4 linked regions of the Lonchura striata genome follow. The protein of the gene in region 2 interacts with the protein of the main gene of each other region in a pairwise test. Links are inferred from orthologs where the notes say so. Each region holds a gene or a part of one and is shown on either strand. Other genes may lie near its edges. The genes, in order: PCSK5, MEOX2, KDM8 and HAT1.

What was found.
Region 1: the proteins of MEOX2 (region 2) and PCSK5 interact in binary tests that used the Homo sapiens proteins (3 or more experiments, as listed by UniProt). The two-hybrid records come from large-scale screens. The link is inferred for Lonchura striata from reciprocal best matches to the Homo sapiens genes MEOX2 and PCSK5.
Region 3: the proteins of MEOX2 (region 2) and KDM8 interact in a two-hybrid assay, tested with the Homo sapiens proteins (2 studies listed by BioGRID). The two-hybrid records come from large-scale screens. The link is inferred for Lonchura striata from reciprocal best matches to the Homo sapiens genes MEOX2 and KDM8.
Region 4: the proteins of MEOX2 (region 2) and HAT1 interact in binary tests that used the Homo sapiens proteins (3 or more experiments, as listed by UniProt). The two-hybrid records come from large-scale screens. The link is inferred for Lonchura striata from reciprocal best matches to the Homo sapiens genes MEOX2 and HAT1.

What each region holds. Positions count from the first base shown.
Region 1 is NC_134642.1:69,633,060-69,640,977, forward strand, and holds the start of PCSK5 (proprotein convertase subtilisin/kexin type 5), read right to left. Parts: upstream 3,153-7,918; 5' UTR 2,616-3,152; coding exon 2,418-2,615; intron 1-2,417. UniProt on the Homo sapiens protein: Serine endoprotease that processes various proproteins by cleavage at paired basic amino acids, recognizing the RXXX[KR]R consensus motif. Likely functions in the constitutive and regulated secretory pathways.
Region 2 is NC_134603.1:128,046,915-128,054,969, reverse strand, and holds the start of MEOX2 (homeobox protein MOX-2), read right to left. Parts: upstream 3,233-8,055; 5' UTR 2,781-3,232; coding exon 2,270-2,780; intron 1-2,269. UniProt on the Homo sapiens protein: Mesodermal transcription factor that plays a key role in somitogenesis and somitogenesis and limb muscle differentiation. Required during limb development for normal appendicular muscle formation and for the normal regulation of myogenic genes.
Region 3 is NC_134618.1:17,463,850-17,472,017, reverse strand, and holds the start of KDM8 (bifunctional peptidase and arginyl-hydroxylase JMJD5), read right to left. Parts: upstream 3,149-8,168; coding exon 2,463-3,148; intron 1,167-2,462; coding exon 1,034-1,166; intron 167-1,033; coding exon 125-166; intron 1-124. UniProt on the Homo sapiens protein: Bifunctional enzyme that acts both as an endopeptidase and 2-oxoglutarate-dependent monooxygenase.
Region 4 is NC_134610.1:20,438,859-20,446,665, reverse strand, and holds the start of HAT1 (histone acetyltransferase type B catalytic subunit), read right to left. Parts: upstream 3,125-7,807; 5' UTR 3,040-3,124; coding exon 3,033-3,039; intron 2,084-3,032; coding exon 2,012-2,083; intron 1,697-2,011; coding exon 1,621-1,696; intron 1-1,620. Other genes in the region: SLC25A12 (electrogenic aspartate/glutamate antiporter SLC25A12, mitochondrial), read left to right, coding at 5,052-5,063, 5,485-5,538. UniProt on the Homo sapiens protein: Histone acetyltransferase that plays a role in different biological processes including cell cycle progression, glucose metabolism, histone production or DNA damage repair. Coordinates histone production and acetylation via H4 promoter binding.

The sequences.
Region 1 (7,918 bases), on a different chromosome or scaffold from region 2:
CACAAACACAAAATTAACAGAACGGTCAGTGGAAATAAGGCCTTCAGAGTCCCTCTTTCTCACTGTTTCCTTCAGCTCTAATTATGCAATTTACTGTTGTCAGAATGTTCCTGGCTTGAAACTTTCATTTTTATACAGTTTCACTACTTATCTTTAATATTTTCAATAGGTTATTTTTCTGGATAATTTGTAAGTTAGTCCTTTGGACCAGCTGCAGTGGAATTTTGATTTAGCTTTTTTCACTTTCTTTATATAGATGAGCTCATAAATTTAATGTAACCAAAAATATTATGCCTATTCTATAACTCTATGAGAAAATTCTACTTATTGGTGTCTCTTATTTTCAGAGCATATTCAGCTAAGAAAATATCTTTCAACATCACACTCAAAATAAATTTTTTAATTACTTGCAATTGTTGCTCAATAATAACCAGCAGATTATTGCCCCATTCTGATCTTCTTTTTGCACTTCCTGTTTTGCATCAAGTATTTTCCTGCTTTTTCAGATCTATGAAGAAAGCTCGCTATGGACAAGTCCACCTCATCTGTCCAAACTGTTCCTGATTCCCTTTCTCCAAAAGTTAGTACCTTACTCCGTTTACCCATCTTTACCTAGAAACACAGTCTACTCTTTTTTTCATCCATATACCTAATAGAGCATTTTCCAATTTTCAGTTACTTATAGTCTCTATTTTCTCTCATTCTCATTTGTATACCTAATCTGTATACCTAATCTGTATTATCCATTACTGGTATTTTGTAATTGTATATAGACACTTTCACATAAGAAACAACAGAGGTTTACAACATTCTTTCCTTAATTCAAGACATGGCTTACATATGCAAAGTACAAAAAGGCAGGCTCTGAGCTAACCAGCCAGCCTGACAAAAGAAAAAATGGGGACAGGCGCATCCTGCAACCAATGGTTGCAAATTTTGCCACTATAAGGGCCCAGATAGGAATAAATCATCTTGAACAAAAAACATTCAAGACTAAAAAGAAAACCGATGCAAAAAATTTTGATTCCTAAACTGTAGTTCCAAAGTAGTACTTCACTTTTGACATGCAATCTTCCTCCCATATTTTAGTGCCTCCAGCTGGAAGTAGTACTGCCTGTCTGCTTACGTGAGAAGTTGATACTCTAAGTAACTGCGTCCTTACACATCACGTTTTGTGATACCCCAGTGACATTTTCCAGTTTTTCTCATGTAAATTATTTCTCTTAATTGACCAACCAGCTGTCTTTTTCAGGCTTGCAATTGATATGTACTTTAAACTTTTGATTCAATGATGTAGTAGGTGGGAATCCATTTTAAAACAAAATAATAATCAGGTCTTATTTTGGTTTGGTTGATATGAAACGCCTGGAGTGTAAACACAGATACGGTTTTGTAAATCTCATGTATAAAAGGAAGCCTTCTGTACCTGTAAATGTTCATTTCTAACCTTTCGATTCATGTAGAATAAACTACTGTCCAGAAAGAATGTACTTGGATGTTTGCACCCAAGCATGCAACAGAACATGCAAACAGTTTATTTTTTAGGCACTCACCTTGTAAACCCTACATATGCAACTTGGATTTTGAGAACAACTGCGAGGAAAGCCTAGAACACCGAGTATAAACTCCTTAAGAAAAAGTGAAGTTAGGATATTTTAAAAAGAACTGTGCCTAATTGTAGAAGTGGGGCATTTTCCATTCCAGTGAGAACCAGGTGTTTGCTAACTTTCAGTTTCCTAACCTGCCTGGATACAAGAATTTTCTGACGTGGTGACGTCTGGATCTAGCCAAGTCCAGGTGTGCCCTGGCCCCAGCAGCGTGCTCTCCTTCCCCACGGAGCGCCGCGGGCAGCCGCACGCGCGGCAGCCGCCCCGGGACACGCCGCCACCGCCTCCTTCCGCACGCCCCGCCAGCGCGGGGGTCGGGACTCAGCGCGCTGCGGCGAGCCGGCGGCCGCGGCTGCCACGTCCTGGCTGCCGGCTCGTCTCGTACCGGCTCTTTTCAGCTCGGAGAGGCGACTCGCCGAGAGGCTGTCCGCCGCGGAGCGCAAAGTTCAGCCGCAGCGAGGCGGAGCGCAGAGCCGCGGCGGGACGCCCCCCGCCGATGCCCTCCCCCTCCCGCCCCGCAGGCGGCTCCCTGGCCCGCGCCCCGTTTCACACCTGGCTTCGAAGGGGAAGGCCACGACCCCGAGCTCCCCGGCATACCTGTCCCCGCGCATCACCTCACGGGGCCCGCGGCGGGGAGCCGGGCGGCTCCGCGGACCGCCCCGCGGCGGCGGCGGGGCCTGCGGCGGGGCCGTGCCCGGGCAGCAGCCGCGGGGCCTCCCGTCCCTCGCCCTCGCCCTCGTCCCTGCCCCGGCGGCGCAGGGCGGCCGCAGCGCCGGTTGCCCGCTGGGAAGGAGTTGTGACCAGCGTTACCTGTCCTATATTGACGTATCCGTATTTGCTCGCTATCCTGTTGGCCTCCGGGAGCCCCCCGGTTATCCGCACAGCCCAGTGGTTGGTGTAGAGGCGCGTCCTGCAGGCGGGCAGCAGGAATCCCAGCACCAGGGTGAGCCGGCACAGAAGGTCCCCGCCGCCTCCGCCTCCCCAGCAACAGCGGCGCTTCCAGCCCATCTTCTCCTCCGCAGGCAGCCCCCACTAAACTCCTTCCTTCTTCCGAGGCCCTTGTCCTCCCCTCCGGGCCGCTCCGGCGGTACGTCCTCCGAAGTTAGCCCGAGGAAGAAACTAGGAAGAGCTTGGAGTAGTGCATTGAACCGCCCGGGGCTTAAATGATGAGGGGTTGGGAATAGTGCTTCTGATCAGTGATTACTGCTGTGCCCTCTTCCCGCCGCTCTCCCCGGATTAAGTAACTTGCTTGTGAGAGCTTCTCTCACTGTTCCTGAGCGCCAGCTTCTCCCTCTATCCCTAGCTACATGGGAAGTCGTCTCTCCGCGGGGAGGAGGGGTCCTTATCCCTCTCCCTCCGTTTCCCTCCTCTCTGACTTCCTTCCCTCTGCCAGCGGTCTTCTGCCTCCTCTCCCGCGTCTGGCTTTTCTTCGCCTCTACTCGCTCCCTCTCTCCGGAGCCCGGGAGCAGCGCGGCTGCGGCGGCAGGCGATGTGTGAGTGTTGGCAGCTTCGAGCCTCAGTGCGCTCCGACTCGACGACCTCCCTCTCCCCTCCCTCCTCCTTCTCCTCCGCCTCCTCTCCCCGCCCTCAATCCCTCAGCGCCGAAGGCCAGGGGAAATGGCAGCCGTGTCGGCGCCGGGTTACCTCCCTCTTTGCGCTCCGGGGCCCCGGGCTACCGCTGGTCTCGCCAGCCGCCGCCCCCGGCGCTGTCTCCGCGCCCCCGCCGGGCCGGGCGGCCGCCGCGCCGCCAGCGGGGCTGCAGCGGGCGCGGCGAGGCGAGGCCTGCGGAAGGGCCTTGTGCTCTGCACCGGCGGCAAAGGGCGCCCGGGGCGAGGGGGGGCCGCGGGACAGCCCCGGCTGCTCCGGCTCTGCCCCGGCCTGCCTGCCCAGGAGAAGCTGCTGGGCTGCCGGGCGGGACGGGAACAGCCCCACGGCTGCCTCTCCGGCAGGCGCCGTGTGCCCGTTTGCTGGCCGCACATCGTACGCATCGCACGTCGTCGTTTAATGCAGCCCGTCTGTCCGTGGTCACCACCTTCGAAAAGAAAAGGGGGTGGCTGCTGCTTTGGCAGAGGAGCAGTGGTCCAGACCCAGACAGAGAAGGCAGAGCTCCCACTGCTCCCTCATCCATGTAGCTATGTATGTAGCGTTGCTACAGATCTGCAGCTTGCTTCCATAAGCAGAGCACCTCTGGGCCCAGAGAAGATGCTGCTAATCATCAGCAGCTGTCCCAGGCTAGTGCCTGGCTGGGGTGGGAGAAAGCTCATGTCCACTCCATCCCAAGCTTGTTGTTTAATGGTCTAAGCATTTGAGTCACCATAATAGCTTTGGACTACCTGTAGATCTACTTTGTTTTGCTTGAAAGTTGAAATAATCGGTCCAACAGACCTACTGTGAAGATCTGTTGCAAGTTTTGAAGGAATTTGGACAAGAGAAGTAACATTGCAATGCACTAATGTAAATCTGTGAATTTTCTCTGAGGAAAATAATGTCAGCAAAGGTGACAGTAGGCAAAAGTCAGGCAGCTGTCACTTTCCCTGAAGTATGAGAAATTAAATGCTTTACAGAAGATCATAGAATAACATGGAGCTCCTTTTCAACTCCATGAAAACCTACATCTCTACCTTTAAAGCAGCTGTTTCCCTTGAAAAGTAGAAATAGAAAGCCATGTTTTCCAATTCCGGTGATTCTCTGCTTTATGTTCATTAATTTTTTCCCTTACATATGGGTATTATACTGGTGATTAATGTCTTCCCACATCTTTTGATAGTTTTTAAAAAATAGAAAGAAGGAAAATGCATCCTTTGCTTCCCTGTTTGTTTGATGTCTCCAATAATTTATTTTCCAGAGATTGCTTCTTCTATGTATTTTCTTTTGTAGTTTGTATGATCATTTTCTCAGTATATTCAAATGTACTGTTAAGTTCTGTTCGTACATTTAAGAATTCATGGGAACTTGCCTTTCCTAGGATTTCACAGATGGTGGCTTACTGTTGAGCAAATTGTTCCTCTGTTGAAACTGCAGCCAGCACTCATTCAATTCAGCAGGCCCTTGTATGAATTGTAGCTGTTAGGACCAAGCAATTACACCTTGTTGCTATGTGTATTCAAAAATACACATTCCTTGAATATGACATTAAATATCCCTCAGCAATTAGCCTTAGCAATGCAGCAATTAGCCCTCCTAATTCATTGGTTCAATGATAATTACACAAGTCAGCTCTTATCCAATATCTGCTTATTATGCTTAATCATTAATATCTGCTCTATAGAAGTGAATAGCAATCAATGGGTCACAACACCTGAATCTTATGCAACCCCAGTTTGTTTTTCTGAAGATAATAAATTGAAAAATTTTTTTCTGGTCTTTTCTCAGATAATCTTACTATTGTTTTGACTGCCATATTTTTTGCTACAGATAATGGACAAAAGGTGCACACTACAAAGAAAATCCATACTGTCATGTACTTACTTCCAACTTGTCTCACTTGATGGTGTTTTATACAAAGCACCGAAGTCACTAGGAATCAGTTGATTTGATAAATACATCATTGTCTGTAAGTATCTTTTCATAAAGCTGCATCATATTGCACAGTATAACAAAAATGTTGTGAAAATTGTACTATACATAAAAACAGCCTCTGGAAGAGGCGGGGTGTAGTCCCCAGAGACATTTTTTTCTGTGATTATAGTCCTCTTTGCTGAGGCCACTGTGTTAGATGGCAATTATAGCTAGTGTGGCAACATTTGGACATTGGTTGCGCTGTGAAATATTTGAGTGTGTTTCAATATGAACTCCAGACTGTAAAGTTTTGCTGAATACCTCATCAAAGCAAAATCCCTAGGGACTTCACTCCTTACACCCCCTCAAAAAAAAAAAAAAAAAAAAAAAAAGGAAAAAAGAGGTGAGAACCCCTGCCATGCCGTATTCTGTTCCTTTCTGAAAGAGCCAGGCATTTCATATACCAGGGGAGTGGAGAGACTGAGGGGGCTGAGGCAGCAGTGTGGGAGTTTTATTCAGTGTACCTGCTATATGTGGACTGTATGTAGCTGGTAGCTGGGCTTGCTTTTGAGCTCTGTGGGAGACCTGATAACTTGTCTCTCTGTACACCACTGGAAAAGTTTTTATCTCCTCTTGGTAAGGGCACTAATTTGATCCATTTTATCACTATTGTTACACTGGTGCCTCTTGTTAACAGACACACACACACACCTCTCCACCCCCTTCTTGCCTCTCTTTTATGACAAAAGTCAGTATCTGCCTGACTGCTCAAAATGCAAATTTCCACAGGTCTCTCTCTTGTCCTTTACTTATTGATAATAATCCATTAATCCCTCCTCTATTGTTAATTCCAAATGATAGCAATCCAGAATCTGACCTCAGTGGCTGTTCTCACTTCTCTCTTATGTGCTCTAATTGCCTCTTGTTTTGCTGTTTTGCCTACCTAGTCCAGAAATTATTCTTTCCTTTCTAGTTCTTTCTCAGCCTGAAAATCCCTCTGGCTCACCAGCTTCAGCAGCCTTTTTACTGTGTTGTCCTTTATGTCAGCTTTCTAGCACTCCTGTATGTTTTGCAGATCAGTGCTCCAGAGATGTGTTAGCCACCCCAGAGTCATAATTAAGGAGGAAATCACATAGAAAATATAAATTTAAGCAAAGTGGTAGCTCAGTGTCTTATAGGAAGAAGTAATGCAAGCAGATGTGCTGGTCCCTGAAGACACTCCAGAACACAGTCTATTTTAAGACTAAACTGGGAATATATGTTCATCAGCCTTTGAGAGGGAGAGTCTGGGCCATAGTAGATGAAACAAAGGAAACATCCGAAGAGTGGAGGTTGTGTCAAGGACTTGTTTAGAGGTTGACTTAGAAAGATGGATAGTTTTGGAATCCAAAGGAGAATTTAGATTTCCTCAGTTTCAAGCATAACTGTTTTTACTTGTTTTTATAAACAGTACAGCTAGGTCACTTGACACCAGCCACCATATGATCCAATTTGCTGGTATACAGTTCTTTGATCTCCAGTTTTCCATGCTTAAGGCTTGCCTCTGATTTTACATATTTTAACATTTTGAATATAACTAAGTTTTGGGGTTTTTAGTTTGGTTTTTAATAAAACACTGGTTTTCCATATAATTAAGTACATTAACAGGTTTGTTCCTGATAAATACCTGTCTCTTTATGCTTTGAAGCAGGGTATGTATTTTGAGTACTTCACTGTTCTCATGAAAAGTCACCTATGTTGGTCCAATTTTTGCATGAGAGTTTTCACCTGTACATTAGACACTTTTTTTACATTCAGCAGCCAATTTGTTGAGATTGCTCACTCCTCTCACTAGGATACCTCTCACTCTCCCAGTGTGTAGACTATAGGGTCTGTATATCTAACCCTGTATGCAGTCCACAGCAAAGTATGACCTCTTATTTCTCTTCCCACTTCTTGTTGGTCACGATGGGAGTGAACATGCTAATTGACAGTAGACTTTAATTAACTTTCTGGAAATACCAAGGAGGCAAGCCTTTTGTCCTGAATGTAGAGGAGATAAGAGACAGGACAGGTAAAGGTATTCAAGTGGGGTAAAGAAGCTGGGGTGGCACAAAGGAATGAACAGAAGGAAATTGGAATGGGTATTTGGCTTTGTCAGGGTGTGCTCCAACCCAAGCCTCAATTTTATCCTGAGCTCAGTGTCAGAAGCTCAGTGATTCATGTAAGGAATCAAATGGAATGATCCTTTATTTCTTGTCTGTTGGCAGTAAAGCAGTAGCATTTATGTCTGGATCTAGGAACAGGTGTGTCTCTGGGTTTTTCCTGGTAATTGGACTGATGCTGCCTTATTCAGGTATTATGTAGATTTCCTTCTAGTTTTATGAATAAGGCTGCACTGTCTATTTTTCACCCTGTGAACAGAATGTCCCTCTTACCTTTACATCTTTGATTGTGTTTATTGCAATTTTTTGAAAGAATGTCTCTCCCCTCATTATAGTTATGGCTGTGCTGACAGGCATAATTTGAAATGATGCTAGTGTTTGTTACACCACATGAAGAGACTTCTTGTACTGATGCCTGTGCCAGCATACTTATTTGCTGTCTTCCCATTTGTGCAAATGCATCTCTTAGGGCTTTAATCTGAACTGTCATTATTTTTTAACTGTATATTTCCTTTTATTTTCTCTTTTTGTTTTTTTTTATTATTATTTTTTATTTTTTTATTTCAGAGATCTAGTTGACAGTGCCAGTAGCCATACTAATTTTACTGATAATACACAGTGCATAGCTAGAATGAATGGCTAAGGCATGGAGAGAAAAGAAGAATGGTG
Region 2 (8,055 bases):
GTGGCTTTAAGTGATGTGCTTAAGAGGAAATGTATGTGTAAATAAGCAAGAGCATTAATAATTGTCTCAGAATGCTGGCACTGAAACTTAAAGCAGTCTCTTTCTCTCTTCACCTTTTAGTTATTTACTATTAGGATTTTTTACAAATGTCTATTGAAGAAGTTCCAAGTCTGATGAAGGCATGGAAGAAATTCTTTCAAGCACAGTCATTTGTCTTAAAAAAAAAGATTAATGAGAAATAAAGGTGATGATGTTTAATCAAATGAGGGGCAATTATGGATGACAAATATAGAAACACAGCAAATTAAAATAATTCTTGCTGCCATATATGAGAATAGCACTAAATATCTAGCACCAGAGTTCAGGACTAATAAAGGGGTGGGGTTAAATATTCAGTCCAAAACTCAGGCTTTTCCTGAAGAAAAACCAAACATATAGCAACTATGCAGCTGTTGTCAAAAGACATCTATTTTCAGTTTGAGAGATTCACAATTGTGTGAACGGTCGTATTTTTTTCTTAGCGGAAGGGAGAAGGAAATAGTTACCTGCCTTGATCTTCAGAAAGACTTAGAAAGTGAGGCTCGAAGTGCATTGCAAGATAAGCATAACCATGGCTAAAGGCTTGAACTCTTGTCCGCTAATCCAGTGGAAGGCTCCAGTCACTTCAGGGTAAGGTTTAGGACATTCCTCACTGGTGTTTTTTTTTTGTTGTTTTTTTTTTTGCATTGCAGAATGAAATAAACAGAAAGTGATTCGGATACTTCTCTGACAGTGAAAGGGACCAATTTCCTTTTTTCCTTTAGCTTTAAATAGACCAACAAATACAATAAATCCTTACACCAGCAGGCATCCAGTTATTTTCTCAGTTGTAACAGGGACTGTTCATACACCTCACAAAATCAGATAAATCTTTTTCTCATTGAAAGAAGACAAACACAAAGATTTTACCAGCAGTGTTTGAACTAAATACAGCTTTAAATGCATGAGTTTTTAGCAGCTACACCAGCTACGTAAGACAAAATGCAGATAAATACGTTCTGAATTACTGTAACTGTTAGTATTTGCTAATGTAATGGACAAGGAAGGAAGTGATGGTATTCTTGAGGGTTATTTTTTTAAATCCTTTTTGTTGCTTGCGCTTGGCTAAGCTTACAGCATTTTGAGTGAAAGGTTATGGTTTCAGTTGTGAACTTCATACATATCTGGAAAAGCCTTTCACTTTCTCTTCTGTGATAACAAATAATTTGCTACGCCAGCTCTTGAGTTTTCAATCTGTTGAGCCCTCTCTCTTTCAAGTGCCTCCTGCCTGTCTCACTATATTTTTGGTGACCCCTCGGTTCATGTGTGCCCTAATGGAAGTCCCATCAGTTGCGTTGCCTTCGCTGAGTGCCTTTTGTCAGATCAGGACTTTGAAAGGCTTTGCTATTTTAGAAAGCAGAGATAATGTCAAGGTTTTTTGCCCATTCATTGATGCCAAATCATCAGTCTGGAATGACTGTGGGTCTACATGTTTTTATGTAAAAATTACTGTGATTTTAGAAGGCAGACTGCTCCTTCATTTCCTCTGTCCCCGCCACCAGAAAACTGAAGTGAAGCAGCTTTCTGAAACTCCCAATCACCCGTTTGCTTCACAGAGTCCAAATTTTGCCCCTTCACGCTGAGGATTTCAGAGATCACTCAGATCCTACAGGGATCCTCAGATCCTACAGGGTAGCAAGGCATCAGCTCCTCTCCCGAATCCCCGCTTCCAAGGCAGAGCTTCCAAGCGTTGTGCAATCGCCTCGGAGCCGCAGTCAGCTCCGCGAAGGGGCGGAGGGGAAGGAGCGCGCTGGATTCTGAATTTTGAAGCAGAGGTGTCGTATCGGGCAGGGGGGAGGGGGCCGCGGGACCAGATGCTGAAAACCGCACCAAAACTACAAACGTTTCTCTCTGGCTGTAGGAAATTCTCCCCCCGCCGCCCCACCACCACCTTGATTTCATACTCTATCACGTGCTGAATTTTTTCTTTCTATTTCTCCCCCCGAAGCTTTAATAAAGTTTGCGTTAGTGATGGAGATCCCCAGAGCGCGTTGGAGGGAAGGAGCAACCCTGCAGCCGGGTGTCAGCCGGCGGCGAGAGCACGGCGGCGGCCGTGGCCGGGCGAGCCGAGCCGAGCCGAGCCGAGCCGAGCCGAGCCGAGCCGAGTGGCGGCAGGTCCGCGGGGCCCGACCGCGCCACTTCCCCGCCACCCGGGGATCCCGCCCCGGCTGGGGAACGCGCGAGTTTTTACCTGAGCTGTCGCTTTTCCTTTTGCCGGACCTCTTCTCTGTTTCCACCGGGGACAGAGCCTGCCTGCCATAGTCCCCTGGCGCACACGCTGCCCCCGTGGGGGTGTTGGTGCCCAGGCTGGAAGAGTTCGAACACAGGACAGGGGGGCTGCTGCCCAGCTCCGGGGGTCCTCCTGAGTCAGGCTGAAGGCAGAGGCTGTGCCTGGCCGCGGCGGGAGGAGACGACATCTGAGGAATGTGCCAGTTCGTCTGCAAAGCTTGGTGCTGCTGTTGCTGGTGGTGGTGATGGTGGTGATGGTGATGGTGATGGTGCCCCCTATGATGTTGGCTGGCAAACATGCCCTCCTCATTGGGGTATCCCGCTATTATGCAAGAGGAAGAAGAAGAAGACAGATCAGGGTAGGACATGTGGTCAGATCTTCCATGCAGTGCAAGAGAAGACTGGGAGAAAGGGTGCAAGCTCTGCGCAGTGGCATGGGGGCTGCGCAGGCAGCCAAAGAGTGTGTGATCCATGGCATGCAAGTCTCAGGTTCCAGGCAGGAGAGTTTAGGAAAGATCCAACTTCACCACCCTTTGTCAACTTTCACTGTAAACAGATCGGGGCTGGGATTTTTTTTTCCAAAACGGCACCGACAGGCTCTGCAGCAGGCAGCTGAGCTCAAATAATCCAGATCTTTAGCCCTAGTGGCCAGTCTCCGCTGCATAAACACTCGGACCTAGATGAGCCGTTCTCAGAGCTGCTCAGATGTCAAGAAGTGGGAGAGGTTGAAGCCAATAGAAGGTGGTCCCAGAGAACTGCTTGAAGGGGGAAACAGCTTCGAGAGGTTATAAATACAGTAGTGTGTAATGTGAGCTGGGGGCTGGCTCAGCAGCACAGCACTGACCACATGCAAACTCCCTCCAAAACGCCAGCGCCGTCCCCGCGCCGAGCCGCTCCGTCAGCGGGCGGCAGCGCTGCGCGCCCGCGCCCCGGGCGCCCGGGGCCTGGCGGGGGGGCGGCTCCGCGGGGGCGCAGCCCGCTCGTCCCTGCCCCCGCGGGCCGCGCCTCCCCGCGCGGCTGCCCGAGCCCCCCTCGCCGCGGCCGCACGGCCCCGCAGGCCATCACCGCCCCGTCGGGGCCGACGGGCCGCTCGGGGTCCCGCCGCCCCCGCGAGCGGCGGGCGAGGGAGCGCAGTAAAGACGTGAGGCGACGTGCGGGGGTGACTCTGGGGCGGGGGACGCGGGGGCCACCCCCGTTTCCCCGTTTCCCCGGGAGCTGAAGTGCTCTCGCCAGCGCCTCACCTGCGAGCCCAGGTGCGAGGGCGCCGGCGTGCGGGGCCGCCGGCTGCGCTCCCCCGCTCGGAAGGTGCCGGCGCGGGCCATCTTCTCCTCGCCCGCGCCCACCGCCCCGGCACTCGCCACGGGCCGCGGCGCTGCCCCGGCTGCCCTCCACAGCCTCACGCTGTGCCCCGGCATCGGCGGCTGGTTCTGCAACGAACCTACCGGCGCCCACCGTGCCAGCAAGGCTGGCTGCACAGAGAAGTTTCCCCTCTTGCCCTCTGCCCCTTCAAAACAAGAAGTCACATAACGTCTATTTGCTTTATCTTCATTTGCTTCGTTGCAAATGTCTTTAGTGAATTGGGGAATAACTTGGAAAGTTTGGGCCTGTCTTTTTATTTTTTTTTTCCTTTTTTAAAATCATTTTTTAACATGCGCGTAGTGGAATTACAGTAGCCACCAAGGCGTCTCTTAACTGGTTTAAATCAGGATAACGCATTAGTGATCAATGACCAAAGAGGTGCCCACTGCTCAGCGGTTTTATTCTCCAGCTCTTCCTACTCGATGTACCTTGCTCCTCCTTCCCCCCAAAACAAAACTATATTAAAAAAAAAAAAAGTAGAAAAGGGAAACCATTTCTCTCAAGTCTAAATTCTTGGGTCCATGTGCTAAAGATAAAATGAATTTCAATTGCTAGTGGAAAAAATCAGCAATTGTATGACTTTTGTAAGAGCTAGTTTCTTAAACGGAAATTGAGTCCTATTTTGTGGGAAATTAGTTTTGCAGACTTTCTTAAAAAAAAAAAATCTAAAACTTTTGTTCAGCAGCTGCTCCGCTTTTCACTGCAGTTTCAGACTGAGCTGGAACCTGCAGCAGTCTTTCGACGGTAAGATTTCCCCCCTTTTCTGACATCTAACTCTTTTTAATAACTGTCTTTAGATTTAACTGTAACATCGCGGTCTTTACAAAGAGAGCGGCGTCCAAAGCAGAAGTTGCTGCCTCTGTGCACCGTTCAAAACTTGATATTTCTTCAGAATAAAGGAAATATACAGTTACAACACTGATGAAATATTTTGTGCTTTTCATTGTGTTTATCGTTTCAATATGTGTTCTAATATTAGAAGAGAGGAATACAAAGAAATCTCGATGGCTGAGCCCCTCTTGAGTTTGGGAACACGCCGGGCTGGCAGCACAGGGGTGCTGCTGTCCCTCACAAACAGGAGCAATAACTGCGAGACAGCGACAGGCGCGGAGCGTCGCGCCCGCCGCGGCCCCGGCGGCGGCGGCCCGAGGGCTGCGGGGGCGGGCGGCGGCCCCAGGTGGGAGCGGGGGAGCGGCCCCGGGCACCGCACCGCTCCGCTCCGCACCGCACCGCACCGCACCGCTCCGCACCGCACCGCTGCCCTCCGCCGCTCTCCAACCTGCTGCTGTCCGCCACAGCTACGGGGGCGAGTCGCCGTCGTGGGGGCCGGGGCCGGAGGGGCTGGAATGCCAGCACCCCTCCTTCCAGGGCCGCTGCTGCCGCATCCCTCACACAGCCACAGCTGTGAAGAGGTCGGGGAAGTCCCGAAGCCAAGGCGGTGTAAAAATGCCTTCGTTCTAGGGAATGGCCATGCAGGATTTCTCGCACATGACCAAAAGAAAGGAAAAAAAAAAAAAAAAAAAAAAAAAGAAAGGAGTGAAGTGAAGCACAATGAAGAAAGTGAGAGGGTTCGAGAAAGAGGGAGAAAGATAAGGTTTCCAAGAGAAGTAAGAAACAAGCCAAATAAGACATTTTAGGGAGAGGCAGAAGAGATTCCAAAAGGTGAAGAGAAGAAAAGAAAGAATGCAATAGCAAAGCTATAATGGCACAGCTCCGTGTTTGTCAATAGCTTCATATCCAAATCTGTCTATTCAGGAATGTGCTTCCCTGGGCTTCTGAGTTTCCAAATAAGTTCATAGGTCCTATATCAAGTGTTCTTATTACTTCTTTAAAAACCAGTGTTAAGCACACATGAACTGGATATGCATTTCACTGCAGAGCTTTATGCTTTCATTTCAAACTATATAAGGAGAATGCAAAAATAGGCAATTAATGTGAAGGCAAACAAACAGCTTCAAACACTTTCTGAAATTATTCCAAAAGTTTCTGTGCAGTTACCAAATACCTATGGCTATATGATAGCATCCTTTGTAAAAAAATTATAACTTTTTAGTTATAACTTCAGTGTAAAGCTTCTCAGTAATAGCAGAATAATTACTGGAAAAAATTGTAAGCAGTTGCTGCCTCTCAATATTAATGATTGAATTCTTGTTTGCATTGTACCTTTTCAGAATGTGTGTTTAACCTACATGTGGTACAAAAGCATAACTTAAATCAATGCCAGCAAGTTTGCCCAAAGCTTATAAACATCAAGTGAAAAAAATAGAATGTTTTAAATATGTGAAAACAGTAAACTGTTTAACTCATAAAAACATCTGGAGCCAACACAGTTTGGAACATCCTTTATATTTTCATGTATGGGCTACTATTTGCATTCACTTTGTGTTTCTTGGTTTTGCTGGTGGGTCGCTTTTGGTTTTTTAACTTACCATTCATGGGGAAGGAGATCATGTAAAATTGACCTGAATGAACCAGTGTACAATTCCTCCTTTTCAGGACTTTTGTAGTCTTTCTGATTTTTTACGTTGGAGGCTGAAAGAACCACCTTCCTGAATATTTATCAGAATGTAAGTAGGATTCTTGTCAGTTCTTTCTAGTGTGTGGTTTGCATATTTGCAATATGCGTATTACAGTAAAATCAGATAGATAAGTCATATTTGGGGACCATTTGAATTATATAAGTTGTCATAACTTTGCTGAAGTCAGCAAAAGGATGGCAATTTACACAATTTAAGAATATTTTCATTACTGTCAAAGGGAAAGCTTACAAATATGAATTCAGTTTCTTTTAGCCAAAGTTTTTATTGTACCCAAGAGCCTACCAAATAAGAGGACAGAGTTCTATTCTACTGTAATTATGATCAGTTCGTATTTTTTCATGGCAATTTGGTCAATGCAGGCATCATTCAACCTTAGAGTCAATCCAGATTCACAACAGATGTATATTTATTTTCAGTCTTTTCTTTTTTTTCCGAATTTTTGCCAGTTTAACTCCCTCTGAAGCAATATAATTCGTTTCTCTTGGTACCTGTATGGCAATATAAACCCACAGATATAAGCAGTAATAAAGCCTGGGGATTATGCATTATTTCAGGGATGCTTGAATGCCTTAACTGAAAATCCTAGCAAAGAAAATGAATAATTGTTCACTGACTAGTCAAAAATACTGAATCTCTGACTAATTAAAATTGAAAATAATCACATTTACTATTCTAAACCTATGCTGCACCAGTATCTTTACAATACTTCATCATAGAAACATTTTTTTCTGATAAATTGCACTACCACAATTTTAAGATTGCATTTCTGTGGTATATTTCCATTTCACTCTCTATAGCGCTTACATGTGCCATGGTTTAACACTTATCAGACACAATTTTTGCTTTAAAGACAAATACAGATCTGTAAAAACTTTTAAGCCTGAATTAATATTTCCAGCTACTTCTCCCACATACATATGGCTTCTGTTCTTATTTTCATGATCTCCAAGCATTACAAATTTTAAAGTTATGCCAGCAATTTAGTATACTACAGAAAAGTTGTGCTGAGCCATGAGGCCCTCGCTGAAAATGATTTACAAGTTTGCATTACATCATTAAAAGTTATTTGAATTGCCAGCCCACTGTAACCAGTAAAATATCTTATGCTTCCTATTTAATTTAAATAAACTGATGAAATATTAAAATTCTGAATGCACTTGAGGCTTCACACCTGAACTATGCTGTTTCAGGAATGCTTTTAGAATTTGGGAAGCTATGCATTTCACATACTATGGGAAACTTGCATTTCACATTAGATACCCAAAAGTCCCAGAAGTCATATTCAAAACTTTGGAGTGTGTTTGTTTTAAATAAATAATTTATTTGAAAATTGAACAGTTTTGCACAATACATTTTTTTCCCATTCTGCTTGTTGCATTGTAATTAAACATTTTTTTAATTCTCTCTAGTATTATCTCCACTTAAGAATAGTTGAACTAGAAAACAGCTATGACTAGCTTTGTCGGGCACTTTAATAATACATATCTAAATTTGTATTTAGAAGTGTACTCAAAATGCATATGCAGGCAAGTCAATAATACCTGAAGAAGATGTTTTCCATTTTGTCGTCCCCAGATCTTGACAATTACACGCTATGCTCTGTCCATTTTCCTCATAAAATAAGAGAGGGAGAAAAAAAGGCTTGTGTTTTACACTTTAAGCATTTTATTGTTTGATACAATTCAGATTGTGGATTTTGATCTGTATGTGTATTTAAAAGACATTTCACTGGAGTTGAAAATACAGACACTATTGTGCATGGAAAAAAGGTGAAGGGCATTTTTATAATTCTTTATTTTTAACAATGCTTGCTTCTATCTATGCTGTAAAATTAATATTGTGTTGATTA
Region 3 (8,168 bases), on a different chromosome or scaffold from region 2:
TTAAGAATTACTACGAATTCTCCAAATGCCCTTCAATCGACTACAGTCAACATCTTGAGAGACAACTTGTGCTACAAAAGGAAGACATGACTGTAGGAAGATTAAAACATTCACTCAGTTTTACCTGATCAAAAAGCTGGTGCTGGGCAAGGTATCCTACATTGTTCTGAAATGACAGCAGAGAAACAAAAATCATAGTAACATACAGGTAAGACAGTGGATTAATTTACTTAGAGGTGAATAGAATTTACTTAGAGTAAATTCCAGTGTCCTGTTCAGAGTACTATATATAATTATTTCAACAATATAAGGTGTCTTCAGATATAGCAACTTACAGCTCCATTGAAATTGTGAGAGTGTAGGTGTGTCTCTACAATGAATAAATTATCCAGCTTGAGTTACTGAAGGAAGCTGGGACTCCCTGTGGAGTCTTGACAGCTGACAATACGCTGCATCTTTCTAGCCAGACCCTGCTGGCACACAGACCAGTTCTCCTTCACGCTCTGGAACTACTTCCATACTCTATTCCGGGGTGCACCACAGAGCAATTTGCTATGGCACATAGTCCTTCCTGCCAGAAGGCCAGGAAACAGAAATTGGGGTTTGGGATCCTCACCTGTTAAAGGACATTCCAGACTTCGCTAATCAGCTTTGTATTTTTCTGCCTCATGGCTTGTAAATCCTAAATCTCACTAAGCAGCTTAATGAGAAAGAGGAACAACGCTGCTGGCTGAGGATCCCTTATTCTTAGATTCGACCAGTCAGGTTTTTGCTACATATGTATGTGTGTATATATTAATCAAAATCCAGCTACTGTACATTTAATTATAGGTAAAATTCAAACCTATCGTTGCTATAATTATTCCTAGCTTCACGTCTTAAAAATATGTCAAACCTTTTAATTCAGAACTGTGCTTACAGCACACCCCCTCCCTTGATATGACCTCTGAGTAGGTTTGTTGTAAGCAGAACTGTTGTCTTTACCAGTACCACGGTGCTGTGTTTGGAAATCAAACAAACAAGTGTAACAGACCTCATCCATGATATACTGGCTGATGAAGTCACTGACAGTCATGAGCTGCTGAGACCATTCCTCGTCTGTGTACCGAGCACCCAACTCCACTGGGACTGTGCGGCACCCTGCGACTTGACAGAAATAGTCCACACTGAAATAAAGAAAGTTCCATTACCTTCTATACTGCTCTTACTAATTTTGAATGTAAAACAATCAATCCAAATCAATCTTGTTGGGTAATAAAATTCTACTACCCTGAGTTTCTCCTGTCTAAACCAAACCAACCAGAATAAAAAGGCAGAATAAAAGACTGCAAGCAACAAGGAGATCAGCAGGCAGGTTTGTGTGGACATGACCCCACAACTGTCTGTTTTGTTTTGGTTTAAAAGCCTGTTTGCCCCAGTTGTTTTCTTCCAAACGAAGAAGATTTAAGCTGTTACTGTCTCTTGGGAAGGGATGGCCAATCTTTTTCTGCCTGCTGCTACATTTCATAAAATCTTGTATCTTTTACTCAGTAATATTAGATCAACTCTCTGTCAGCAGGTGCCAATAATACCAATTCCAATTGTAGCCAGAGGGGATGAGTTTGATGGGTGAAATACATCTCTCCATGGACAACTGTATTAATTAAACTGAGAAGTTAATCTTGTTAAGTGTCTAATCTTAACCAGTACAGTACCTTCCCTCAAAAATGAATAAAATCTCTATGACATAACAAGTGTGTGCACTCAGTTTTATCTTTGGTTGTTGAACTAAAGCAATTATTTAAACTAAGCATGAGTGATTTTTCCCCTTTTCTGGGGAATCATGACCTTCACCTCAAAAACACTTGATGCTCAATGTTGGAAATGTGGGCACCATTGTGTGCATTAACCAGGCAGCACAATGCTGTTACTCAGTCCTGCACAGTGGTGTCTGAAACTCAACACTCAAACACAACACTGGACAAACATCAGTGCTTGGACTTATGAATGAAAAAGTCAACCACGCTTACTCTTGGCTCTGAAATTCACTTTCCATTGCAGTAATTATTGGCAAGCTCCAAGGGGTAAAAAGCACTGATGTGTGTTCCTTGACACATCCACTGAGCTGTGAGTAGCCCAGTGGCACTTTGCAATGTGCACGTCTCGTGAGTTCCCAGGTGTTGCCATTGGGCTCCTGGGACGGCTGAAGGCTGGGACAGCAGAAGGTGGCCTTCACCCACGAAGAGTCAGAGGCTGGTCAAAGAGTCACCTTGGCCCCCAGACAGTCCTGCACTGAAAGCTATGAAGAGCTTCCCTCATCTATGAAGCAACTTCCACAGAGCAGTGGGACTGTGCTGCTAGCAAAATGCACTGTCCATGGTATCCTTTGCCTGTGGAGGTCTGCCGCTCTATCGAGCATCAAGATACCCAACACAGGGAACGATCGCGCCTTAACTTGGACAGGGAAGAAATTTACTTCTCACCTCCACTTCTTCATACAGGGCCAGTGGTCCATGACGCCCTCCAGGACCACAGGCCGCTGGGGAAGGAGGTAGTTGTCTCTGAAATGCTGGAGCGAAGGGCGGCGGAGGCGCGGAACGAGCTGCTCCGGCCGCAGGGCGGGCGGCGGCGCCAGCCGGGGGCTCGGGAGCGGCCGCTGCGCCTCAGCGGCGCCCGCAAGGGGGCGCGCGAGGCCGCCCGGGGCGCGCGCGCGGGGCAGGTGCGGCTGCAGCGCGCGCACCAGGCGCGCCAGGACGTTGTCCAGGATGGCGGCGCCCATCAGCAGGCCCAGGTCGCAGAGCCGCACGGCGCGCGCCAGCGGCCGGCCCGCGGCCACCTCGGCCAGCGTCCCGAAGAGGCAGCCGTAGGCGTACACCTGGCGCCAGCCCTTGCCGACCTCCCTCCATGGCCCCGCGTTCAGCTTCTCCCAAGAGTAGTCACGCAGGACGTCGCCGAGGCGCTCCAGCGCCGCTGCCGCTGCCGTCCCGGGCCGTCCCGCCGCGCCGTAGAGCAGCGCGCGGGCCCGCCGCAGCAGCGGCAGCACGCAGTCCTCCACCTCGCCGCTCAGCGCCAAGGTCAGCCCGTCCTCGGCGCGGGGCAGCAGCGCCCGCACCTCGGCCCACAGCGCCAGGCTGTCGTTCGCAGCCGCCGCACTGCCGGCCGCCGCCATGGCCGCGCCTGCGCCGACGGCCGCGAGGCAGCGCTGTCGGGCCGGCGGGGCTGAGGCGGGGCCGGGCGCGGGGCGGTGCCCGGAGGAGCCGGGAGCCGAGCTTCGGTCGCGCCGGCGAAGCTCGGATTTGTCGTTCTTACCTGTGACTTGACCAGCGAGTCAGCTGGAATTGAGTGACTGTGATGGGCGCTGCTTTCGCAGGAAAGGGGAGCCCGTAGACGCGGTGAAGGCCACGCTCTCCGGCCGTTCGCCGAGCGCCGGCGTGAGGAGGCGGCTGCCTGCGCTGGGGACAGCGGAGCGCAGGCGGTGAGTGCTGAGGGAAAAGGGAGATGCGCTCTTCCCAGCCGACCTTTTGTGCTGCAAAGAAACGTCTCTGCCCGGCGCTCGAGGAGCCCGAGCGGAGCCCGGCGCGGCCCTGAGCCCGTGTCCTCCCGCTGGCTCAGCTGCCTGGTGTTCATCTGCTCACAGGAGCGCTTTCTGCATGGAATATGCACAAAACTCTTCTTACTTTCTAACGTGCTGGACACGGCATCACTGAGCCCCAACTTGCTTTGATAATGTGACCTGAACGTTCTCAGGGCTTAATACTTGACTACAAAGGCAAAACAATATTTTATTTAAAATTCAGCAACTGAGGAATGTTTTAACATGGTGAACCAAACTAAACCACCATAACAAGAAATGAGGAATTTTTAGTTGCTAGTTAGGGTTGAAGTCTTTGGATTTGAGACAAATCCTAATTTACAGAAAAAGTTAAAATCCTTATTTTCTGTACTCAGATACCCGCTCTTCTTTGTTCCATGCTCAGTCACTAGTGCTTTCCAAAAAGGAAAAAAAAAAATTGATCTGAATCCTTCTGTTGCTGCTAGTGGTGGCTCTCCCCCGGCCCCCCAGCTGTCTCCTCGAAATTATCACTTCTGCTCTCACACTTCTCACACTTCAGGCTTGTGCATTGCTTATCATGCTGGCCTGTCTGTTGCCTGTCTTCTGACTGCCTTTCTCTTGGCATCTTAAATTCCTTCTGTGACAGTGTGATTTTAGCACCTTCATTCAGTATTTTCTCCTTAACTGCTAAATGTTAATATATGCTGCTGTAGGAAAAAGTATTTAAGTGGCAAGGAGATTTTCTTGTTAAACCCTATGTTCATTATTTGCAATTTAGGATGCTAGCAAGTGTTGTTAGTCTTGTGTCTGTGGGCTGCCCACTTTTTATAACCATTTACATTGACATTTATTTGCATTTAGTTAAGTAATAGTTTTTGCAGTTTAAATATGAATAATATTTTCATTAGTTTCATTTTGAAGATTAGGATTTTTTTTCTGGAATTTCAAACAACAACAAGGTCTGAACAAGTAATCTCCAGCACAGCAGTGAGGCATTGAGGCCATGATGAGCTTTATCAGTTTCACTTCAGGTGATTTTAGTTTTTGAGTATTCAGGGAGGCTCTGTGAGCGTACATTGGAAGACAATTATTTCTAGTCAGTTTTGGTGCAATAGTTTGAATTCTGATACAGCATTGATAGCCTTGAATCACAGAATCAACTAGGTTGGAAAAGACCTTTGAGATCATCAAGTCAAAGCTGAGACCTAACACCACCTTGTCACCTGGACCACTTCCAGTCTTCTTAAACACCTCCAGGGATGGTCACCCCACTACCTCTGTGGACAGCCCATTCCAATACCCTATCACTCCTGTGAAGAACTTCTTCCTAATGTCCAGCCTAAAACTTGTAGTGCATCTTAAGACTGTGTCCTCTTGTTCTGTCAGTGGTTGCCTGGAAGAAGAGACCTACCCCACCTGGCTACAAATTCCATTCAGGGAGTTGTCGTTGCAGTTAAAGGGGCTGTATATCTGCTGAGCTAATAAAGCTCAGGTCTTAGGGTGTGTACTGAGTCTTGTGTGTTTGGCCTCTTGGAGGAAAATCCACTAAAATCTCATAATATCATGCTGCATCTTAATAACTTGGTTGAAATTGTCCTCATTGAGGGAAAAAAACCCAACAGATTTGCAAATGCTGAATTGGGAAGTTTAGCTCTCAGAGCAGTTAACCTTGCAATAATGCATGCTAGTTTTGAAATGCCTGTAAGCTACTGCAGATGTTTTGTGTGAGCTGCCTGACCAAGGAAGTGGATGACTTCAGTGCTAGACATTTCCATTTTAGGTCAAGAAGAGAGAATTTAATTCCTGCTGCCAAAGAACAAAGATTACTGTCATGTGTCTAACCTGCAGAAATTGATGGGAAAAAGAGTTCCATGGATTATGCCACAATACTGAAACTTGTTTTTATCAGAAGTAAAAATTTTTTAAGATTGTGGAAAGCAGACTGCCTAACCTTGTAGAAAATGTTCCCTAAGGCATAGAAGAAAACTTGGTTCCCTGCTGCTTCCTGATTTACAGTCTGTGCTTTTTGTTCTCTTTTGTATTCTGTGTATTTTTAAATATGCTTCAGCCATCTCTTTTTCTCCTTGCATGGACTTTCAGAAAGAAGTTATCTATTTAAAAAAACCAAATGAACAGGCACACAATTAAGGGAGATAATGCCATCTGTATACAGATAAAACTATCTGTATTTCTCTCCTATTTACAGTGATAGATTCCAGGACCCACAGTTGATGTTACCTTATGTGCTACTGGTGAAAAAGTGATTAGTTACACCAAGTATAAAAAATACACTCTATGTCTTAGTTTGCATTTGTCTTCATTGAAAAGCATATTGGCCAGAGAGTATTTGCCCTGTCTAGAATTTAATTTTTTTAAAAAAATTATTTATAGGAGTATTCTCCTTTATAGCAGTCTTTACTCATTTGCTGATTAGAGTTGATGAACAAAGTCCTGTGATTTGTTTTTGAATTTTATTAAAGTTACATCAAGACACTTGCTTAGTGGTTCGCCACTTAAGTCCAAAGTAGGATGTTTGTATTAGGTGGATCAGTTTTTAAAATGACACCATCTGCTTGCTTGTACATATTTATTTGATTCTTCCCTAGGCGAATGTAGCTGAAGTCTGGTGAGGAATAGCCAGTTTGAATTAGCAGATAGAGAAAGCATTTTTTTGTTCTATGAAGGAGTGTGAGGCCAGGAGTAATAAAAACTAAGTAGATGCCCCAAATATCTAAACACAAGTCAGTATGTGTAAATTGCTTGCAGTGGTGAATGGTGAAGTCATCTCAGATGGGTTGCCTTGTCTGGAGTTCTTGTTAAAGATTAAACCTTCTTCAGTGCAAAATCATGTCTAGCAATCCAGAGCCCAACAAGTAACACTGAAGATTTTCTTTCTCAGGACTCCAGGATGCTGCTCAGCTCCTCAAGAATGCCATATCCCTTTTGGCAGCCTGGCACTCTGGATTTTATACCCTCCTTAAAGGGAGGATGGCAAGAAGATGAAGCCAGGCTCTTCTCAGTGATGCCCAGCAATAGGAAAAGAGGTAAGGCACAGAAACTGATGCATAGGAAGTTTCACCTGACCCTGAGGAACAGCTCCTTCACTGTGTGGATGAGATGTCCTGAACAGATTGCCTGGAGTGGGTGTGGAAAGTCCCTCACTGGAGATATTCCAGAATGTACGGCACACGATCCTGTGTCAGGTACTCTGGGATGACTCTGTTTGAGCAGGGGGGTTGGACCAGATGGCCCACTGTGGTCCCTTCCAACCTGTACCATTCTGAAATTCTGTACCATGGAAGGTGATCTGTTGCCGTGTTTCCAGGGCTTTTGGAATGCCTGGGCATTCACCAGCCATCGCAGCAGGTAAGTGCCTGTCAGTGTTGGCAGTGTCCAGGAGCAGGGATGAAGTGGGGACAGGCTGATAATGCTGCTGCCACCAGTGCTTAGGCTGTTTTTGCTTCCAGGAGTGGTTGACTGGTACCTTCTATGAGCAGTATACACAATATACTCACTTAACATTGCCCCTGTGCCCTCCCCACCCATGCAAAATAAGGTAAAAATGGAACCTAAATGGGAATATAAATTGATGACTGCTATGAAAGCCATAGATGGCTTTTATTTGCCTTTACAGGAAATGATTATCTCCTCTTCTGCAAGAACAAAAGTGTGAACACATAAGACTAAAGATTTTGGATGTCTTTCCAGGTTGCTTTTTCTGTTCCTCTGAACAAGAGATGAATGATTCTGATTAAAATATGTACAGAATTAATTATTAAGCAAAAGTTTCCTCAGATGAGCAAGGTCTTCCTGATGGAGAGTAACACAGCCCTATATTTTCATTGTGTCTTGGAGTTGAGTGTAGATGTGCCGTGACAGTGTAATGATGGATATATCTTTATCAACCTGTTCCCTGAACTGTTTTTATCACTGCCATCTGCTTGGCCGAGAGTGGCAGCTGCCAGGTCTCACAAATAGTGCTGTCATGTACTTTCATGTAGAACAACATATTGTAATTTCCCTGATATTACTAGATGAAATAACTTTAAGTGAGATAAGGTGACATTTTGCATGGCACTTTGGAATGTGTCTCATTGCTTTGGGTATAGGACACACAGTGTTCTTTCTGGAGCAAGCTATATCAGCACACCCAGTTCTACTTTCAGAAATCACTGGAAAATACTTATTTTACAAAAACATTACATAACATCCATCTGGGACATATGTGTCTGCTGAGATGCAACTGAGGCAGTATTGCTTACACATGTAGCCTTAGTTACCTTTGCTGAATGGAAATTATGTAAGTTAGACTATTTTAAAGTTCTTTTTCCTTATATCAACTTGAATCCCTTTCATATTTGCAAATAAGCTCCTTCAACATTAAAGAAAACATAAAATCTTTACAGCTGTCATGAATGACTGTTTTAAGGTTGCTTAAAGAATCACCGGAGAAGGTATCAGAAAAAGCATGTTTAATATGAAAGCGGAAGCATGAAAAAGTTTGTTCACAAGGTTACTACTACTTGGTTTAAGAACTAGAAAAAGCAAACTAAAGTCTAAAATCAATCTAAATCCAGATTCAACTCCAGAATTATCTGTGTGAAGGCTGGGGAGTGGACAGGGAAAAAGGGAAAGG
Region 4 (7,807 bases), on a different chromosome or scaffold from region 2:
ATTCACATCACAGTTGCTTCATTTCATGTGAGATTCACATAATCTTTCCCAGTAAGGTAAGGTAAGCTTCCTAATAGGAAAAGGGAATCAAACTGGATGTGTACTATACAGACAGAGGTAATGCCTTACACTGCTTCTATTATTTCGCTCCTCTAGAGGAAATACTCTGAGCTCAGTAAGGCAGTGCCTGTGTCCTTACTGTGACAGGAAAGAATACAGCTCATACTGTGTTTATGCTTTTTCAACAGCTTTAACTCATTAACAGTTATTTACATTAATTGATTGCTAATATTTATTAAAAATTATTTTGCAGTGTAGTATAATATTTTGGAGTAAACGACTGCAATCTATAATGTACAAAGCACAGATAACCAGGTGTAGCAATTTGTGAAGTTTTTGGTTGACAGTTTCTATTTAGTTATCCAATCTAACCAGAAATTAGTACCTGCAAAAAGAAGTATAGAATACAAAAGCCTTTTTTACAGTTTGAAAATACGAGCTGCCTGAACACAAATTCGATACTCTTATGAAGAATAGAGAATTTCTTTTCTGGAAAACACATGCAGAAAATAGTAATGTTCACAAAGAAACAGGCCAATTTTTTTTGTTGTTGTTGTTGAAGCATAGCTGAAACTTTTTTTTTACTGGGATTTTTCTTTTATGGTAGTACATTCATAATTTAAAATTTGAAATGTTAAGTGCCAGAAGAATTTCCTTCTTAGCTAAATTAACAGATTGGAGAATTCTCTGATTACTAAAATTATAATTATTGTCAATGATGCTATTGGTATAACAAATTTATTACATTTAATACAGGTATTTCATTCTAATTGAAGTACTTAAGAATGCTTTCAAAAGGAAATTGAAATTAAGAAACACAACTACTTGAAGTCCACAGAAACATACAGGTGGATTCTCTTTAGGTTTGTTTCGGGGTTTTTTGTTTGTTTTTTTTTGTTTGTTTGTTTTGGGTTTTTTTTAAATCTATGGCCAGATTGTTGAATATCACTCTACTGAAAATAATAGATGACACTTCAGCACTAATTAATTCAGCATGCTCAAAATAAAAGAAACAATACTTTTTCACCTACACTTTAGGGAAGACTTTGATATCAGCATTCCTCTGGAGAAACTGGCTGCTCATGGCCTGAACAGGGGCATTCTTCACTGTCTGGATGGCCATGCCCAAGGAGTGGTGGGGAATGGAGTCAAATGCACCCGACAGCTGTTCCCCTGTGGTGTTCCCCAGGGCTCAGTGACAGTCCCATTTAATGTCTTATCAGTGATCTGAATGCTCCCTAAGTCAGCTGCAGTCAACACTAGGCTGGACAGGAGTGCTGAACTGCTGGACTTGGGTCACAAGTGACAGACTTGGGGAAGAACAGAGCAAAGGAGCTGGGGGTGCAGGTCGACACTTGACTGAACACGAGTGAGCCAGCGTGTGCCCAGGTGCACGAAGGCCAGAGGCGTCCTATCCTGTGCCAGTAAATGTAGCAGCAGCACCAGGCCAGCACTTCTTATCTTGCACTCCATATTAGCAAAATGTTATGGTTTTTAATTATTTGGAAACAAATTTGTCCTTTGGGACCTATTAGTTTAAATCTGGAAACTTTGACTTACTCATCTCCAAACACTTGATGGCTGTACTCTGGATTAAATGTTGTGTTCTCATCCTCCAAATCCTCAGGAAAGCGAACTGAGAAAATAAAAAGAAGAGAGCATGACCAAGTCACCACCTTTCATCTGTTTATCCACAGAAGCCCTGCGAGCTGTTCACACACCTTTCCACTAGAGTCAGACAACTTTAGTTAAGAAACTATGTGAGAGTGGCATACAAATGATATCAAGGCATCCTATACAATTTGGATTCATGTTACTTGACCTATGAGTATCAAATCAGTAATCAGACTAGGACTGAGAAACTGACACAGATGTATACATGTATCTATTTCACAGAAAGACACCAGAATACTTCAGTATCACTTGTATAATATTTAAAAAGTGGTATTACCTAGCTTCAGCTGAATCGCCTCATTTGTATTACACTTGTATTCAGCCAGCTTCTTCTCCATAGCAGTAAGTCCTGAAAAAAAAGAGATTTTTTTAAGAGGTGTCCAATCTCTTTGTCATTATTACTCAAAAAATATATTAGAAAAAGGGTCATAAACCAAGAAAAAACACTTAACACGAGACCACCAAACAAGAAAGATTAAAACAGCTACAACATGCCACAACACATCAATACAGAGGATAAAGAGAGCTGTCTCACACACTCTTCTGGAATTAGAAAACATACAAGTATCTCATTTTAGTTTCTGAGAATTAAAGTCATTACCATAAAAATATTAAGTATTCTAAGTTACTACAAATTAAATATATATTTCATATGTGCTACTTATAACATGCAATACTGAATAAGAATTCAGTATAACATGTTATAAATAACACGTGTCAACACACTTCAAGTGTTTGCATTAAGTCAGTTTCATAAACTGCTATTAATGAACTACAGTGGCATGTACACCACTAGCAATTATTTAACCAGCACTACTCTTCCGGAACGGATGTGGAAGAAAAACGCAAATAAATGCACTGTATTTCATGTGATTTCCAAAGCCTAATCTAGGCCAGAAGACACGTTTCACCTCAGGTATGTTCCAAGTGCTTCACAAACATAACCCCCGCTTCATTTCAAAGGGCCATAAGAAAGTTCTTCTGCATCTTACTTCAGGCAGCAAACTTTAAGTAAAAACACTTTCGGGTTTTTAGCTCTTTGCCCACCGCCAGCACACTCGTGGCCACGGACACACTCTCTGGTCTAACACTACCAGACCGTGGGGGCCATAAGCCCGCAGACACGCAGGAGCAGGACCATGGCAGTCAGGCGGCAGAGAGGCAGAGGGGCAGAGGGGCTCCCCTCCTTCACAGCCTGTTCCCGTCCGCCCGCATCCGCCGGCTCCGAGCTTAAGCTCTCCTGCCCGTGCCGGCGAGGCTGGGACCGGCCCCGCTGCCGCTCCCGGGCCGGGACTCACCCGCCATGGCCGAGCCCCGCGCCGCGACTCAACCCGCGCGCCCGCCCGCCGGAAATGAGAGCGCGCGCAGGCGCTTCCGCTTCCGCCCGCCGAAACCCGGCGTGGAGCCAATAGCTGCCCCGCGCGGCGCGCGCAGCCTGCGCGCATGCCCGGCACCGCCTCGAGCCTCGCGCTGGCTCGCGTGACCGGCCCCGCCCCGCCCCGCCCACCCCAGACCGCGGGCCGGCCGGCGCGCGTGCGCAGAGCTGCTCGCGCCTCTGTCACGTGCGGCGGCTCCGCGCGCGTCGCGGACCCTGCGGCTGCCGGCTCCTTCCTCACTCTCAGACCTCGCTGCTCATTGCTGCAGTTACGCTTTGGCCGAGCAAACAGCCGGAGCTCTGTCATTAGTAAAAAAATAAAACTCTCTATATTGAACTGCTTGTTGCAGCTATTGTGGGATTTCTGCCGTTTTCTTTCAGAGACCTGGCTTTTGATGCACAGTGGGAGTTGCTGTGCTGGTTTGGACAGGGGTAGAATTACTTTTCACACTGGCTTGTGTGGGGGTGGTGGGTTCAATCTTTGAGGGTCCCTTCCAACTCAGCTTATTCCGTGTTTTCTGGGATTTGTGCTGAACAGATATTTTTGTTATTGCTGAGCAGGGCGTACATGGAGCCAGTACTGCCATGGTGGTAAGGATGTTGGGGCTGAATGAAAGGTTGGAAGAGACACAGCTGGGACAGGTGTCCCTAAGTGACAAAGAGATATTTTTGACCAGATGGCATCCTGCACAGTCTATAAAGTGAGGAGAAGAAGGGAGAGGATGTTTGGGGCGATGATGTTTGTCTTCCCAGGTAACTACTACTGGTGATGAAGCTCTGCCATCCTGCAGATGGCTGAACACCTTCCTACCCATGGGAAGCAGTGAATTAATTCCTGATTTTACTTCGCTTGTCTGCCTAGCTTTTGCTTTTCCTATTAAACTGCTTGTCTCTCAACCTATGAGTTTTCTACTTTTTACCCTTCCAATTCTCTCGCCAGTCCTGCTGGTGGGGGAACAAGTGAGTGAGTGTGTGGGGCTTGGCTGCTGGCTAGGGTAAACCATAACACCCTGCAGCTAAGCATGTACACATATGGCTTTATTGAACAACATACTTGGGTGGTCAGATGCTTACCAAATAGGCAAGATTTCTAGCAAAACTTCTGCTGTCAGCTGGGACATAGGCATATATGTAGTATATGAACTCTTAAGAAAACCTTTTTTTTGACATGTAATTAAAATGTTGTTTACCAGAGGAAAGTTGTTTTAAACTTGAGTCACTGTTTTCTGACCACCATTGTAAGCTACCAGTTACTGTATTTAGTTTAATATCTCTCTGTGCTATTTGAGGAGTACCAGAATCTACCTTTTTCCAGTGCCATCTAATAAAAGACAATTTGTTGTGCCCTTGAAATAGCACAGCAAGACATAGTATGAAGTATTATTTAAATCAGGTTTTATAAGCACCATGATTGAACTGCTGGAATAAGGTATAAACCTTCCCTTTCTTAAGACTTCGGCCTGCATGCTTTTTATTTTTAAGTATAAAGCATATGTGTGCTCTGCTGATAAAGGATTATAAGACCTTGTAAGAAGTTAGTGAATTCAGCCGGATTTTGGGCCTCTAGCTCTATGTTTGAAATAGAGAGCTACAACCGACTTGCAGCCAAGCTGCCAGAACACCAGCCTATGAACAATTTCGGTACCTGAAACCAACAGGTACACGCACACCTCTGCTGACCCTCAGGGACACGGCTGCATGTGTTGCGCCACAAGGAGACTCGGCAGCATTCAGAGGCCCCGTTTTGCACTGTGGAGGCGCTACCAGGCTCCCGCTCCGCGCACCCACAGGCGGGGCGGGGCGGGGCGGGGCGGGGCGGGGCGGGGCGGGGCGGGGCGGGGCGGGGCAGGGCGCTCTCCCCACAGCGCCGCGCTGAGGCGGCGGTGCTGCGGCGGCGCGGCGGGCGGCGGGCGGCTGGCTCCTCCTCCTCGGCGGGCGCAGCATGGCGGTCAAGGTGACTCTCCCGCTCCGCCGCTGGTGGCAGGAGGAGCCGGGCGGATCCCGCGTGGGGCCGGGGGCAGGCGGGCGGCGGGATTCCCGCGGGGGCCGGGGAACGGTGATGGCGGGGCGGCCCCGGGGGAGCGGCGGCGCACCGCCCGCCGGAGTGCCCCGGGGGGCGCGGGCCGGGGTCCCGGGGCAGCGGCGGCGGTCGTGCTGCGGGGCCGGGCGCCGCTCGCAGCCAGCGCCGTGCTGAGAGCTGCCAGCGGCGCGGAGCCCCGTGCCGTGCCTCGGCGGCGCGGCGCGGTCGCGGCTGAGGTTGGGCCTGTGGGTCTGACGAGGGACGCCGTGTTGCCGCCTTCGGCCGGCGCGGCGGGTTGCTCTGCGATCTGACAGCAGCCCGCCTAAGCGAAGCATTCATTTGCTTGTGTTTACAGGTGCATTCAACCAAAAGAGCGGATCCCGCTGAACTACGGAATATTTTTTTGCAGGTAAAAAGATCTAATGTTGTTTGAGTGTCGGACTTCGGTGTTTTGCTCTTTCAGCAGTTTACCGTGGCATCAGACTCGTGTCGTGCTGGTGGCACACTTATAAGTTCACTTTGCAGGCGTAGTGTATTGACGGGGTGTCAGGCATTGAGGAGAACCTGCTGCTGGCAAAAAGTGTGATAACCATTTCCAAATTACCATATTAAATAAGCTCCTGAACTATTTTCTAATTTTCTATAAAGCATATAATTATAATGAAGTGCTGTTTTTTTTTTAAATGCACCTTTGCAGAATCAAAAAAATTTTTCTTCCACGACTGTATGTTTTGTCCTTGGGATTTATATATGTTCATGCAAATGGTTGGACCACTAGGAGTGTTTTTAGAACTTAAAATTGATTTCTCATTATTAATATGTCTTGCAATATTATCCCTTGCAGGGCCTTAGAATTAGCATACATAAATAATAGCATGAAGGTTTCTCCATTCCCTTAGTTTCACTAAAGTGCGATCAGAAAGGAAAAAAATCAGAAACTTTAGGATATTGATCCAGTCAATCCTAAAACTTTAACGATAAAGTTTGAATCAGTCATATGGAATAATAAGAAGAACAAGAACTATGTTTTAGGTCCATAATAGGGCCACCAATATTTCAAAATGACTAAAATATGTTTTTTTCCCTAATGTTGAGTGTTACACAGCATATTTAGGAAGCTTTTCTCTATTTAAAAATTTAGGACTATAAAATTAGAGTTAATACTGTAAATAATAAAGTCTGTTATTTAACTATTTATATGTATCTTCTGGTTCTACTATACCATCTAGCAATTTCCGTATATGATAAGTAGTCAGAGAGAGCTTTTTGCCTGAGAGAGAGGAGTTGCATCCCAGCCGTAATTTTGGTGGCCTTTTCTTTTGCATACTGGATTACACTATGACATTGCTGGAGTGCAAATACTTAGAATGCTGGCATCAAACTGTGGAAGCTCAACATTTAGTTTCTAGTAAAAGATACTCCAACACAGGTTCATTTTTGATTGACATGGCATTCAGCTTTTGTAGGTAAAGATTACACTAGAGTATGTTACTAAAATTAGTGACATAAAAGTATTATCTTTTAAAATATATATTAATACAGTATAAAAATGTGATTCTAGAACGTGTTTTTCCACCTTTTCGCAAAATACTTTTGCACATTTGAATGAAAAACAGTAAAATGAGGTGTCAAAACATTATTCAGTTGTAAATGTGAATTCTTTATGATTCTTGACATCCAGTCAGTAGAAGTTCTTGCTTCTGGAAATAGGGAAATTAAGTTCTTGATAGTGGTCATACAGACAACAGCAGAGAGGAAGAACATTGTATCACTGGCTGGTGTTTTATTGACCTAAAACCAGACAGTTTGTTTAAAAATAAAAGGCTTCCCCCATGGCTGTCTTGTTTTCTTCAAAGAAACATGCAAATGAAGTTGTGAATTGTTTGATATTCTGAGAAATGAAAAATAAGAAGCTCTCCTCTCTCTCTTTGAGTATGTGAGATTTTGCAGTAAAAAAAAGGCATAGAAAAAAGAGTTTGTATTTCTTCTATGTTTTGTTGAGTTTGAAATTGTGGGTTTTTTTTATGCTTAGAAATCAAACTTACTTGCAGACTTTAAAACAAAGGAGAATCATTCTTTTCAAGACTGAGTTGCAGAAAGTCTTGTTATGAAATATTGCAAGTGTTTAGGGGTCAGATATGTTGTACTCCTTGCTGAGAGTGCTGGTCTCTTCTTTGAACTTCAGCTAAAGGTCGTGCATTCCTTCCTAAATTTGGCTTCCCTTGGAAATGGTTAGAAGGGAAGATGTGAGCTCTAGGCCTCGTCACCATCCACCTTAATCATAGAGAGTCTCCTTAGATTTCCTTCTGTTCATGCACGTCTTCTAATGGGATACGTGCCCTCTCGCCGTGCAGTGTACCTTGTATCTTAAAGGACATTGAGTATATACCTTTCTCTTCAGAATTTTTGAGGTGTGCTATCTGCTTCTTCTAATTGTTTTAAACTGTTAAAAAGATAAAGTTTGATTTGCATTAAAAAGATGTGCTATTTCTCTTAATCCTTTAACTATGAAATGCAGGCACTGAAATTTCATGTCTGTGCACCATCAAATAAGTTACCTTTTAGGTGTTTGCTAACCATAGACTTGAGTAAGAAACATAAAAGAACAGATTTTCTAACAAATTATCATGGAAGGATGAAAGAGTTGGATGGAAAAACAGTTACCAGATTTCTTAGTG